Linked DNA regions of Tamandua tetradactyla. The protein of the gene in region 1 purifies or fractionates together with the protein of each later gene. This does not show direct contact. Links are inferred from orthologs where the notes say so. Each region holds a gene or a part of one and is shown on either strand. Other genes may lie near its edges.

The links.
Region 2: the proteins of VAMP8 (region 1) and STX4 purify together in Homo sapiens (affinity purification with western blotting; 3 studies listed by BioGRID and IntAct, with this or other methods). This does not show direct contact. The link is inferred for Tamandua tetradactyla from reciprocal best matches to the Homo sapiens genes VAMP8 and STX4.

Annotation. Positions count from the first base shown.
Region 1 is NC_135343.1:59,880,763-59,887,943, forward strand, and holds the start of VAMP8 (vesicle-associated membrane protein 8), read left to right. Parts: upstream 1-4,169; 5' UTR 4,170-4,371; coding exon 4,372-4,374; intron 4,375-5,624; coding exon 5,625-5,777; intron 5,778-7,174; coding exon 7,175-7,181. UniProt on the Homo sapiens protein: SNAREs, soluble N-ethylmaleimide-sensitive factor-attachment protein receptors, are essential proteins for fusion of cellular membranes.
Region 2 is NC_135349.1:23,489,951-23,497,656, forward strand, and holds the start of STX4 (syntaxin-4), read right to left. Parts: upstream 3,016-7,706; 5' UTR 2,652-3,015; coding exon 2,622-2,651; intron 2,426-2,621; coding exon 2,324-2,425; intron 2,200-2,323; coding exon 2,100-2,199; intron 1,964-2,099; coding exon 1,889-1,963; intron 1,392-1,888; coding exon 1,324-1,391; intron 1-1,323. UniProt on the Homo sapiens protein: Plasma membrane t-SNARE that mediates docking of transport vesicles. Necessary for the translocation of SLC2A4 from intracellular vesicles to the plasma membrane.

The sequences.
Region 1 (7,181 bases):
AAGCGGCAGTCCCACCCTTTCCAAGGGCCTACACAGAGGCCTGCTTCTCTTCAAATGCAACCTTGGGGGACACTGGGGAGACCACCTTTTTCTAGGCTCCACCCTCTCCAAGCATTGGGGCTGCACCCAGTCTCTCTGCCATCTCGGGGGCACACGCTCAACCCCTCCATGTGGTGGCAGCCAGGCTCTCCCCAAACCCCAAGGAATGTGCTTTACCCTCTCCAAGGCCTGAGGCGGCATGACTCTTCCACGGCAACCAGGTGGAAGGCCCATTCTCTGCCTTTGGGGCAAACTCACCCTTTCCACGGGCTTGGGTGGATCCACTCTCCTGGCCCAAGGCTTCTTGACTTCAGGCCTCAACCTCCATGGTTTTGCCTCTGAAGTTATTTTTCCTCTAATGTGTCCCTTCTCTGAACCCCCCAGTCCAGACTGGAGGCGACTCTGTTTATACAGTTCCCACAGCACTCTCGTTGGCTTTCTATGCAATAGCCTCGGATCATGCCCATCAGACATAAGGAGTTTCCACAAATCCTTCCTGTATAACTCCATGTCCAATCCTGGCTTTCTCTGAGATGGCTGACTGGTTCCACATCTGGTCAAATCCTCACATGGATGCCCTGAATTTTCCAGGACATCATATTTTTGGTTTCTTTGTACCCAAGAGTTCAGTTTTCAGCTTATCTCTCTCCTGTTGCATTTCACTATAAGCTATGAGGAATAACCAGGCTGCACTTTCCACATTTAATCTGGAGATCTTTTCTGCTAAATATCCAAGTTCGAGGCTTTTAAAATCTGCCTTCCAGCTAAAGCCACTAGTCAATTTTGCCAGATTATCTGCCATTTTAAAACAAGGATCACCTTCCTTCCAGTTTGCAATAACATGTGCCTCATTTCTGTCTAAGGCCTCATCAGAGGTATCTTCAGAGTCTACATTCTATCAACAGTCTCTTCAAAACATTCTAGGCCTTCTCTATCAAGCTTCTCACAACTCTTCCAGAATCTTCCCTTTATCCATTTAAAAAGACACTCCAACATGTTTGGTATTGGCAAACTACAGCAGCACCCCACTCCTGGTGCGAAAATCTGTTTTAGTTTGCTAGCTGCCAGAATGCAATATACCGGAAACAGAATGGCTTTTAAAAAGCAGAATTTAATGAGTTGCTAGTTTACAGTTCTAAGGCCGAGAAAATGTCCCAATCAAAACAAGTCTATAGAAATGTCCAATCAGAGGCATTAAGGAAAAGATACCTTGATTCAAGAAAGCCAATGAAGTTCAGGGTTTCTCTCTTGGCCGCAAGGGCACATGGCAAACAAGGTGTCATCTGCTAGCTTTCTCTCCTGGCCTCCAGTTTCATGAAGCTCCCCAGGCTCTTCATCTCCAAAGGTCACTGGCTCGTGGGCTCTCTGATTCTCGTGGCTATGTCGTTCTTCTCTGCTCTTTCTGAATCACTTATTCTCCAAAATGCTTCCTTTTTCTGCTCCTCCCGAATGGGTGGAGTCATGTCATCACCTAATCCAGTTTAATAACCACTCTTGATTACATCACATCTCCAGGGAGATAATCTAATTACAGTTTCAAGCATACAATGCTGAATAGAGATTAGAAGAAATGGCTGCCTTTACAAAATGGGATTAGGATTAAAACATGGCTTTTCTAGGGGACATACATCCTTTCAAACCAGCACAGTTTGCAAAACCCCAAACAAAACCATTCCTGTCAACCCTAATGAACACTTAAGACTCTATCTGAGATCCTACAAAAGTTTCATACACTATGATTACTTTCCAGAAACCTACAACCTCTGGATGGATTTTTAGGCCAGATAAATTCTGAAACTCAGAGGGGCCAGCCTCTCCAAGAACGTCAACTAGTTCCATCCCCCTATCCCATACTACCCACAGTCCTTATCAACATGAACAAGTTAGAATGGGCATGGCCCAAATACCCCTAACGACTGGGAGAAGGATCACGGGAGAAGGAGGAGTTATAACAGAGAAGATAGGATTTAACAAATGAATATGACTGCTGAATTGTTATATTGATATTTCTTTTAGTATCCAGTGTCTTGGAGCAGCTAGAAGTACAGAACTAAAATTTGTGTAACTGTAATCCATACCAAACTCTGAAGTCTATTCTATAACTAATTGTTGCAGCGTACTTTGAAATTTATTGCTTTTTTGTATATATGTTATATTTCAAAATAATATATATATATATACTGAAAAAAATATATATATATAATGGAAGAAAAAAAAGCATATGGTGCCTTTGGGAAGGTCATGTAACTTGGTATGATCTGGGCTAGGAGGTGAATCTAATGGAGAATGAGCTTGGGAAAGCACACTGAGAACAGTCTGACTGCCATGCTAAGGAGCTGGGGCTTTACCCTGGAGGGAGATGTTTGGGGAGGATAACAGGCTGCCTGTGGACTTCATAGAGAAAGAAAAGTCATCTTGGAGTTGGTTGGAATTTTCCAGTCATGCTGGCATTAACCAGGAAAGGAGGGAGTGGGTGTGAGAGATAGGACCCAGAAGGCATCAGACTTGGTGCTGGTCCATCATGCATGGTGAATGGCTTGGGATTTCTAGCTTGGGAAAGCAGGAGAAGGTGAGTACCACCCAGGCAGAGGAACAAAGGCATGAGATAAAGAGCTTGCTTGGGTATTGGAGGTGTGCATGGAACTTCCAGGGCTTTGGAGAGGCAGTGTTGGCAATTGTGAGGTCAGAGCTGGAGATACAGATTTGGGAATTGTCCACAAATGGCTGCTGAAATCGCAGAAGCACTCCGTTCTCCTAGGGAAACCAAGGGTTTTCAATCTGCAACTCTGGACAGTTTGGTCTGGAGAATCCTTTTTTGAGGACTGCCTTGCTGCTTACTTTCTGCTTACTTTCAGCATCCCTGGCCTCCATCCACCCAAAGCTATGGGGCAGCCACATTCTCTGTGATAGAGAACACTTGTCCTCCAAAACTCAGGTTGGCATAATCTCATAATTTTACAATCTAAGAGGGATTAAGATTTTATTAGATAGTAGAAGGAAAGAATCTCAAAGGGCTAGAAGAGTCAAAAATGTATTACAGTCCTTTAAAAAGTATTTGTTGGAGGAACTGACATTTCCCTCATGGAACTTTTATCTTTTCTGGGATAGAATAGAAAATCCTTTCTGCACGACCCTGATATTGTTCTTCTGTCTGATAAAAGCCATCCCAGAGAGTGGATTTTCCCTGGTCTTGAGTCAGTTTGCTGGAAAAATCCTTTGGCCTGTGCTCTCCTTTAATTCCTTACCCTCACCCTCTGAGGTCTGTGTTAGCATCTGCAAACCCCAGAGAGTTTCTGTAGGCTACTCTTATGCAAGCTTCAGTTACACGTTGGGGTTTAGCAAAAAAAAAAATTTAGCATGGTTTGCTAAACCCCAACCAAAACCATTCCTGTCAACCCTAAAGAACACCTAGGGCTCAATCTGAGATTCTACATAAGCTTCATACACTATGATTACTTTCCAGAAACCGACAACCGCCAGATTGGATTCCTAGGCCAGATAAGTCCTGAAACCCAGAGGGGCCAACCTCTCGTAGAACATCACTAGTTCCATCCCCCTGTCCCATATTAGTGACAAGCCCTTTTGAACAAGAAAAAGTTAGAATGGGCATAGCCCACATATCCCTAAAGATGGAGGGGCTCGCTTTGGCTCACCCAGCTAGTAGATGCTGCAACTGAGACTCAAACCCTGCATTTTCTGACATGAGCTCAGGATCTCAGCAGTCCAGATCTTGGGGGGACGGGGCAGGGGTCGGGGGAAGAGGTAGTGCTTCTGCCCACCCCCACCCCCACTCCCCTAACCCTGGGACCTGGGCCCAAGGCTTGGTCCAGCAAGGAATTTCCCTGTGAACCAAGCCTGGCAGAGCACTAAGGGGATTTCAGTCGCTAGGAATTGGGGCCAGATATTCAAAAAGGATGGCTACCCTTTCTGGAGGAGAGGGGCCAACCTCAGGGAACTCGGGGAGGAGGGGGGTGCTTCTTGGTCATTCTTTTCTCGTTCCTGACACGTGGGAAGAAACCTGGCGCCCGAGGGACGCCCTGTGGCTTTAAGTCGAAGGCTGGGAGGGCGGTGGAGAGCGCCCGCCCCCCTGCAGGAACCTGCTCACCTGAGGCAACCTGCCCACCAGCGGGAACCCGCCCACTGCGGGAACCGGCCCACCTGCGGGGACCCGCCCCGCTGCGGGGACCTGCGTGAGGTGTGGCTGGAGCTGGGATGTGAGGTGGGCGGGGGCGGGCTGGAAGTTGGAGTAAGCAGGAAGTGAGCCGAGGGGCTGGCCCGGGAGGAAGCAAACTAGGCGAGTTAGGCTGTCGCCCCGCCCGGCCGCTTGAAGACATGGTGAGCGCCCTGGGACTGAGGAGGGGCCTCGGGGCTGGGGGCGTCCGCGCTGGGGGAGGGAGAGTTGGTGGCAGAGTGGATGGCTGGTCCCGGCGCGGCCTGGGGACTCTCTGCTTTCACCACTTGGCTGCAAATGGTTCTGAGCTGCCCTCTGTGCTCCCTCCCTCCCCTGACCTCTGTGCTGGCTAGGAGAGGGGATTTTGGAGTGATAATTGGGACGGGGTAGGGGTGGGGGACTCAGAATTCCTGGCACAGGACTGCCCTGTCCTCCTTCGTCTTCTCCTCTGTCTGGCCAGGGGTTGTGACACTGCAGGGCAGCCGCCTCTGCTGTTTCCAGCTTAGATTCCAGCCAGGCGGTGGCGCTCCCCACCCCCTACCTCCCGCTTTACCCCCCCTAGACAGAAACCCACCGAGCCCAAGGACTCATACCCCTCTTGGTAACCCCAGGAAGAGAGCTAAGGGTTGGTAAAACAACCTGAAGTTGGTCGTCTGTGTTCATCTCGTTTTGACTCAAACCCCTGGCCTGTTGCTGGAGGCCCAGTGGGTCAGGGAGGGAGGAGCTGAATTAGGTTGTTCTCTCCCTGTTCCGAAACCTTATCGTGAGGCCCCAGGCTGAGGCAGCCGCCGGGAAGAACTTGCCCTCCATTTCCCCCAGCACCCAGTCTGCAAAAACCCAGTTTTTAACGTAATATCTGCAAAGCAGGCGGTGGCTCGGGGCCTGCACGTGGTGGCTAAGTGGTGGGGAAAGCAGAAGTTTGCGGCTCAACGGCTTGTGGCGCCTTGGGTGGGATGTGAGCGGGGTGGCCCCCTGCGCGGGGTGCACCAGTGGGGTAAGACTGCCCCGGAGGCAGGGGGCCGGGCCAGTTCTCCCGCTGCTGCTGCCTGAGAGAGAGCAGCAAGTCGGGCCAGGCAGAAAAGACACTTTTCAGAAGGGCCCTGTAGGATGAGGGAAAAGGGGAATGGGAACTGGTGACTGATGGTGAGGTTCTGCCCTGGAAGGGCACAGGGACCCCGGGCACCTGAAAATCCATTTTGATCTAGTCTGTCTAGCATCAGCTCTCAACTTCTGGAACTTAATGTGTTGAGTTTTTTTTTATTACACAAGTAATACACGAAAACATTCTCTTTATAAACAGTTCAAGCATTACGAAAGAAAAGCCAAAGTTGGCCTTACCCTCCTCTGGCCTCCAAGGCTGAGCCTTTCTCTTCCTGCTCCACTTAGCCTAGTTAACCCCTGTGTTGCTGCCCAGGAGGGGACCAGTGGAGGAAATGACCAGGTGCGGAACCTGCAGAGCGAGGTGGAAGGGGTCAAAAATATTATGACCCAGAATGTGGAGCGTATCCTGGCCCGAGGAGAAAACTTGGACCATCTTCGCAACAAGACAGAAGACCTGGAAGCCACAGTGAGATGGGGGTGGGGGGAGGAGGCTGCGGGGGGCTGGAGGGGGAAAGGGAGGGGACTCCTGTGTGGAAAGAGAAAAGTGTTTATCTGTGGGGCAAAAAGAACAGGAGGGATAGAAGTGTTGTTTCTATTCCCTTCTGACATATTTTGGGAATTGGTGTGAGCTGAGTTTCCACTGCTGTTTCTCTTCTGCTTATGCTGAGTGATCTTGGGGCCCAGCGAATGGGTCTGGTGACTGGGGTTTGAGGGCGCTGGCCCATAGACTCATATTCAGAGACAGATGGATGCCTCCGTCTGTCATCCTGTGCATGCTTGTGAAACTGGTTTTCTTTTTTGAAGGCTGCCCTTGACAATGCCATTTGGACTTGACATCTTCAGGGCAAAAATACGGAGTCTGGGAAAATCCTGCGAGGGCCTTTGACCTCCTCCAGGAGATGGAGGACAGCTGGAGTGCTTGCTAAGTCAGCTTTGCAGAGGGGCCGGGGAGAGCAGTGACATTCTTTGATGATGGGTTCCTCTGCCAGCAGAAGACTAGAATAATATCTCCCACAGGCCCTGCTGGAACTTATTCTTTTTTCTCTTCGGCCAGGGGCTCAGGGAGGGAGTGACTCCAAAGTTCAGCTCAGGCTTCGTGTCCAGTGGGAGAGGCTGGTTCTAGTTTTCTCAGTCCCGTGTGTGATCTTGGGCATAGCCCCTGTCTCCTTGGGACTTGATTTCTCTTTCTCCAGCCGAATGTGGGGAGGATGGCCCAGGCAAAGTAGTTTCTGCAGTGAGTGCTGGGGGAAGGGGAGGAGTTTCACTTACTCCCAGCCCTGTCTTCCCCCCTCCCCTCTATAGGGCTGCTGTCCATCCCCTGGCTTTGACAGTCCCTGTGGGGCAAGGAGACATGGAGTCAGGGAGATGTGCCTACCTGGAGCCTGCACCCCTCCCCACCAGTGTCCGCCCTCCCAAGGCCCGGGAGTATGTGGCCATGTATATTGAGCCCTTCAATGTGTGAGGTGGTGCCAGGGGTAAGGAGAGAAGAGGGCAGGTCAGGGACCTGACTCCATGCAGGTGGGGAGCTCCCAGGAATCGAGAATTCTTTAGTCAGGAAGTGATATTTGTCAAGGTAGGAGGGTAGAAGTGTTTTGGTTTTCTTTTTTTTGCATGGCCAGGCACCGGGAATTGAACCCGGGTCTCCATCATGGCAGGCGAGAACTCTGCTACTGAGCCCCCGTGGCCTACCCATGGATAGATTTTTGACTTGATTGTCACCTCAACTTATAATTGAAATATGTGGGTGTTCAGACAATTGTCCCAGGCCCTGATAATATTAGGGCCATGCCTGCTCCGCACCCACCCCACCCTTCCACCATGGGAGAAGGCCCTGGGTCACTCACTTTCCCCTGTCCCCAATAGTCCGAGC
Region 2 (7,706 bases), on another chromosome or scaffold:
GTGCTTTGAAACTTACTGCTTTTTTGTATATATGTTATTTTTCACAAAAAAAAAAAAGGAGAAAAAGTCGATTGTGATGATAAAAAAAATATTTAAGCCTTCTAGCCGCCTATATCCTGGAGCAGCTAGAAGGAAAAATCTGAGAGGATCATATGGTAGCCCATAACAAACTCTGGGATCTGTCCTGTAACTACCTGCTGAAGAGTGCTTTGAAAACTATTGCTTTTTTTATTTCATTGCTTTGTATATATGTTATACTATACAATAAAAAAGCTAAAAAGAAAAAAAGAAGCACATCTAAAACAAGGTCATGTATTGATTGAGGAAAAGTGAGTGACTGAAGCCTCACAGGAACCTAATCCCAAATTTCCCCTCAGGGCAATGTATTCACTAAATTAAATATTCCCTACTTCAGTATACACTGAGACTTTATACAACGTAAGTACCAAAAATAATGAGAATCGAATGTATTTGTTGAATGTCTGCTGAACATGACAGCTTAGAGGCCAGTCAGTAAGCCTGATGCCAAGATTTTAACAGGCCCACCTAGGACCTTAGTCATCTCACACAATGACCAAGAGTCTTTGCTCCTCCTAAAAAGCCCACTCTGGGCTTCTGCAAGGCTGCTTTGCCCTGCCTTGTCCCTTTCCCTGAATCCTTACATATTGTGAGTTCCTTCCTCAGGGGCACATCTACTCTCTTGGATTTAGCCACCCTCTTTCAAGATGCTCAAATTTGTCCATCTTCAATTTGGTCTTTTTGCTGAGTTCTGGGCCCACCTACTTCAATCCTGACTTCTAGCAACCCCAAAGCAGTCCTCGCTGGGACTGCAAAGGGACTCTGGTCAGATCCCTTCAGAGCCCCTTACTAAGACATTCAGTGACCTTCCCCAGCATGAAAGTTCCTCTTTCTGACTTCCTGAATTTTGCCCATGGATTTTCCCTGTCACATGGACTGGAAACCTCCCAGAGATGACCTTTTACCTTGGGCAGTGTCTTTAGCCACCAAGTTCTACCCCAGTAACATCTTTGTTACCTATTCAACCCTTAACTCCCCATCTGAGCTCCTGGAAAGTACATCTGCCACAGCTGAGCCTCACTGAATGGAGGAGAAGAAGACAGGGTGTTAAAATATTTCAAGCATCAGGAGTCCTGGGCTCTTAACCTTGGGTGAATCCTTTCTCTCTCTTAACCTTAGTTTCCCCAATAGAAAAATCATCAGATGGGATTCAATCTCTAATGGCCCTTCCTTCTCACTTCTGCCACCTAATAATCTATTGAAACACTTGGTAAAATAGCCTGGTTCTGGGAACAACAAACCCACCTGGGTTTTTCTCATCCTCATGTTGACTGAGTTATAGTTGTCATCAGCTTCCTCCTGGGGCTCTATGGCTGTGGGAAGACACAGGAATATGGGGGGAAAGAGGGATTGACTTGTGACTTCTGAAGATTGTTTGGGGACCAGAACACAAGGCCAGGGCCATATTCCAGTTACAAAATTAGTGATCTACATAGATTTTGTTAGGGAAATATAATTTAGCACAAAATGACTAATTTTGGGCCTCTGACAGGAGAAAGTGTATTTTTCTTTGCCACGCATCCATGAATTCCCACAGGTATGCAGAGGCCCCCCTAACAAAACCCCTACCTGCTTGTTCAAAGAATGCACAATGGACAGAAAGAATTGTAGGAGTAAGTAGTTTCATTGCAAATAAGAAAATCCCAGGGCAGCCATGGGCTGTGGAAAACGCATGGGACTTGAAGCCAGTAAACTGAACTTCTAGACTCAGGCCTGTGTATAAAGTGAATATATCACCAGCAGCTCTGGGCCATCACTCTCCTGTACACCACAGGGCCAGAGAAAAGGATCTGAGGTCCTAGAAGCTCACCCTTCAGCTGTATCTGGATGTCCCTCCCCAGCTCTTTGATTTCATCCCGCAGGTTCTGCAGGTCCTGCTTCATACCTGAACAAAGAGAAGACCATGAACCCCAACAGCAGTCTATACCACAACAAACCACTCTGGCCACCACCTGCGTGGAACTACAACCCCCACAATCCCACAAGTTGAGCAAGCGCTCTGCACTGGAGTTGTCACTCACTCTTTTCGGGAAGGGGCGTGGCCAGGATGGTGACCTGCTGCTTCTCCAACTCCCGCACTTTGTTCTCCAGTTTGACAATAGTCTGCCGAATTGTGCGGACCTAAGGAGGGAGACAGAGAGGGCTGAAGGAGACATGGGGTACTCCAGACTGCACGCTGCTCGTCAGCCCCGCCCCAACCCCAGCCTTGCCCCCTCGTGAAATACACGCCGAGGCCCCAGCTTACCTTCTGGAAGAATTCTTCGTCCGGACTTCCCAGCCGGGCCGTGCCCGGGTGCACCACCAGCGCGATCCGCAACTTGTCCTCATCGTCCGAGCTGTCATCCCCCTGCCAGGGCCAGGGTCATTAGCACCACTTCCTTTCTGTCGCTTTTGCCCCGCGGGACCCACGGCCTTCCGGGTGTTTCCTGCCAGGCCATCAGCCAACCCCTTCCCACCTCCTGTCCTGAGGTCCAGAAGTCCTGCGTTCCGGCCAGATCCCACCCCGTCCTCCCGCCCCCAAGCCTGCTCCCCCGACTCCTCACCTGCCTGAGCTCGTGGGTCCTGTCCCGCATGGCGGCCCGAGCTCCCTTTGCCCGGCGCTTGAGCCCCGTGGGCCTCAAGTTCTGAGTCTGGAACTCCCGTGTCCCTCTCGCACCCTGACACTCCCCTGTTTCACTAAGAGGACCCCAAAAGCCCCACTAGCCGCCAGAGGCCCCACCCCTTGCAACGTCCACAGCCAATGGGAAGGAGCCGGCCGCGGGGACCCCCTGGAAGACTCCACAGGTTGGAATTCCCTCCTCTTCCCCGCCCCCTCCACTCCCATAGCCTCGGCCCCACCCCCTGAGCAAGGATTCGGAGCATGCGCACGAGGATGCGTCTCTTCCTCGCCGGAGGGAAAGGGCGGAGGTCGGAAGCTGTAGTGCCCTGAACGGAAGCGAAACTGCGCTAGGTGAGAGCCCGCCTCCTTTACCCGAACCAGCTTCCATTGGAAATTCAGTTGCCAAAATGGGTGGAAATGCGTCATTTGTACGTAATCTGAGCGGTCCCGTGTCTCACATCACCCCATAGTGCCCTCCTCGTCACGTGACCGGCCCGGTCCCAGCACCGTGGACCGCGGAACGTGATGCTCCAGGTGTCACGTGTCCCGGTTCTCTGAATGCGGTCCCTGGGACACCCTTCACCCCACGACGCCCCTGGGACCCCAGCGTCCGGACTACGCTCCCACAGCCCCTACAAGCTAAGGCTGCGTGTGCGATTGGGAAGAGGCGCTGACTATCCCCAGAACCCTTTGGAAGCAGTGGGTAGTAGGACTCTTGTTCAGTCCGTTTTTGTTTTTCGGGGGGGCGGGGTCCAGCGGTTTGGGCAGAGACTGCCAACTTCGAATTGGGGGCTGTCAGCATCATGGGACTTTGAAAATCAGAGAATAATAAACTCCCAGTTTTCAACGTCAGAGAATTGCAGGGTTTTCTTGGCAGAGGTACTGGGGGTGGGAAGTGACCTCACCCAAGGCAGAACTCTCTCCTTCCGCAGACTCCTGGCACAGTCTCTGACAGGTGGGTGGCCGGACGCCCTGCTTGAACACCGCAGTCCCACTGCACTCACCACCTTCTGAGCAGCGAGGCCATTTAGGGGCAGCTCAGGCTAAGAAAAGCATCGCGTTACCTTGAGCCCTCTACTTCCCTGCCCCTTACACCCCATGCCCACCTCATGCTTGGTTCTACCCCCTGGGATCACCGAAAACTGCCCGCTTCGGACCTTACTGTAGGCTATGAACTTTCTAGGTTGAAGTATGACTGCCTTTTCTTAACTGAATCCCCAGCGCCTAGTTTAGTAATTACACACATAATGAACCCTGTGTAAATATTTGTTGATAGGATTTTAGCCTTTCACATGTCTGAAGATGATATAGCTTATGGTTCCCTGGTCTCTTCCTTTGGGTTTCAGACTCTCTCACAGTAGCACTTCCCTGGCCCTGGACCTCTAGACATTGATTTGTGCAACAAATATTTATTGAGCACATACTATGTGCCAGGCATTGTTCTAGGAATACATCAAGGACGTAGCAGACAAAAATCCATGCAATCAAGGAGCTTATATTCTATGAGAGGAGTGCCCAAAGCCAATCAGTGAATTTCAGCACGGCCAGGAGCAGATCTCAGGACTCCTGGATCCCAGGGCTCTTCCCAGGGAACTATTATTTGAAGCCTGAAGCAAGGAAGGGATGGCCTCTGTCTTCTATGCTCTGGTCAAGAGACCTGTATTTCTGTCATTGAGTGACTTCCGGCTTCTGGCAAGTCACTTTTTATCTCTGGGTCTTGATCTCCCATCTGTTCAATGGGTTAGCAAAAGGGGGATATCTCTAAAGTTTGCTGATTATGAACTTGGAAACTTCGAAAGCTGTCTGATTCTATGTATAGGGCTTTGATCGTTCTCTAACCTCTAAAACCCAGCCTGGGATTGGGAGTGAGGGAGTGAGTATGATAGTCCTCATCCATCCACAGGGGTAATGAGGATTGGAGGGCCTGGAGATCACAGAGAATTTCTCTGCTCTTGGGTCTTGTAGGTAATTTCCTGCTTCAGTTAACTGCCACTTGCCTCTTGCCTCCCTGTACCTGTCTACACCCCCACATACCCCACTCCAGTCTCTTTATTTCTCTCTCTCATACTCTGTCTCTGAGTGGTTCAATGGAAAGGCTTGTGGGCAGCTGACTTCTAATCCTGTGTGTGACCCTAAAGAATTCATTGTTCCTCTCTGGGACTCAGTTTCCCCATTTGACAATTTGGTCTGTTAATTTCTGCCTTGCCTAGGGTAAGAACTGGGAAATATCAAGTGAGGGGTTAGGAAGAATGAAAAAGGGTCTTGTGAACTGTGAAGGACTGCCCTCCTCTCTGGGCTTCTACTGCTGTGGATTCCAGCTCTCTCCCGTCCCACCAGTCCCATTTTCCACCTCTCTGTATCTCAGTCTCTTGATGACTTTCTCAGTCTCCAAATGCAATCTGGAGTTGTTGGTGCCTCTGTTAAACTTCTCAGGATTATGAGATTCATAATTTCCTTTGGTCTCTGGGTGAAATGGTGACCTAAGGTCACAGGAGGCTGGGCTTAAGGCCACATGGGCTCATGTGTGGAGGGGGCAGGGGAGCAGAGGCCATGTGGGGAGCCTGCCATTTATGTCCCTAATGCTTTGGGGGTTGGGCCCTCCAGAACTGAACACTGATGTTTATTTTATGCCTCTTTGTCACTCTTCCAGGCCCACTGAGCAGCCTTAAAGCTGGGTGTGTGTTAAATATATTGGGTTTGGTGCCTGTAGGTGTTGGAGTTGGCCCTACCTTGTCCTGAGGCTGAGTAGCCAGTCCCGTTCCCTCTACTCACAGGTCCAGCCCTCCAGACACTGGAGCCAGATGACCTGGGTTCAAATCACAGATCCATCCCTACTAACCCTGTGACCTTGCTAGGCAAATTACTTAACCTCTCTATGTGTAGTACACCCAAACACATGGAGCCCAGAATGGGAATGAGGATTTGTAATTGTGTATAGCTTAATGTAATACCCAGATTCATCCCAGAGTATGCTGAGCAGATAATTAAAAAGTATTTGCAAAGTCCCTTGAGGGACTGGAGAAAAGATATGGAACTATTAAACTTTAGCACTAGGGAAACCCCTGATACCGTCTCAAACATTAGGGACTCCCAAATCAATAGGCCAAGCCCTTGATCTTGAGGCTTGCTCTTATGAAGCTTATTTCTGTAGCAGAGAAGCTAAACCTACCTATAGTTATGCCTAAGAGTTGCTTCCAGGAAAGAAAACCTCTTTTGTTGCTCAGATGTGGCCTCTCTCTAAGCCCAACTCTGCAAGGAAAACCATTAGTTTCCCCTTACATGGGACATGACATTCAGGGGTGAAAGTCTCCCTGTCAACGTGGTACATGACTCCCAGGGATGAGACTGGCCCTGCACCTTAGACTCAACATCTTCCTGACCAAAAGGGGGAAGACAAATGTAACAAAATAAGGTATCAGTGCCTAACAGTGTTCAATAGAGTTGAGAGGCTATTCTGTATGTTCTGTATATTCTGTATGCAGGCTTCAGCTAGATATTGGTAATTACCACAGTTTTCCAAGCCCCAACCAAAACCATTCCTGTTAACCCTAAAGAAGACCTAGGGCTCTATCTGAGATTATACAAAAGTTGCATGCACTAAGATTACTATCTAGAAACCTACAACCTCCAGATGGTTCCTAGGCCAGATAACTCCTGAAACCCAGGGCGTCTCCAAGAACATCACCTAGTTCATCCTCCTGTCCCATAATGTCGACACCCCTTCCCAACATGAAAAAGTTAGAATGGACATAGCCCAAATACCCCTAAAGATTGAGAGAAGGTTCAAAGGAGAAGGAGGAGTTGTAACAGAGAAGATAGGATTTAACAAATGAGTGTGACTGTAGAATCATTATATTGATAATTCTTTTAATCTCCAGTGTCTTAGAATAGTTAGAAGGAAAAACCTGAAATTGTGGAACTGTAACCTGTACCAAACTCTGAAATCTATTCTATACCTACTTGTTACAACGTACTTTGGAATTTATTGCTTTTTTGAATGTATGTTAGATTTCACAATAAAAAATGTTTGAGAAAATGAAAATAGCAATAGTACTTGCATCATATGGTTGTTGTAAGGGCTAAATGAGATCATATATATGAAGTGGTTAAAACAGTGCCTTCTACAAAATGAGTGCTGTATAATGTTTGCTGCTATTATGTCACGGTGATGAAAATGATCATTACTCCAAACATTTTATCAGCTCCAGTGTCTCCACCAGGGATTCTACGCTGCTGCTTATCCAGTGTCTTCATTCCCTTTTCCATCTTCTGAGCCCTACTCTGCAGCAGGTCGTAGGCGAACAGCCTTACCAGCTCCTGCACAGCTCTCATTCCTCAGTTTGGAACTAACTGTATTATTTATTATTTTATTTTTATTATTATTATTATTTTTTGACATGGGCAGGCTCCGGGAATCAAACCCGGGTCTCCAGTATGGCAGGTGAGAACTCTGCCTGCTGAGCCACCATGACCCACCCCCTACTTGTATTTTATTAGTCATATATTTTGTTTTTCATTTTGTATATTGTCTGTCTTCACTGGCCTCCCAAATAAAATGCCTAGAATGTAAAATTTTCACCTGCCTTACTCACTGCTGTGTCCCCAGGACTTGCAATAGTGCCTGGCACAATAAATGTCCACGAATGAATGGAGTTACTTATTTTTTATTTTTATTTCTTTTTAATTAAAAATTTCTTCTTAAGTTTTAATCCTTTTAATTTTATATTTACATAGTGCTTACTGTGTTCCAGGCACCAGTATAAGTGCTTTATAACTGCTAATTCAGTTCATCCCCAAGACAACTCTATGAGATGGTGTGGTAGTTAGATTCAGTTGTCAATTTGGCCAGGTGAACGTGCCTAGTTTTATTGCTGTGAACATGAGCCAATGGTACGTGGACCTCATCTGTTGCTCATTACATCTGCAGTCGGCTAGGAGGCATGCCTGCTATAATGAATGATGTTTGATTTAATTGGCTGGTGCTTAAATGAGAGAACTCAACGTAGCACAGCCCAAGCAGCTCGGCATA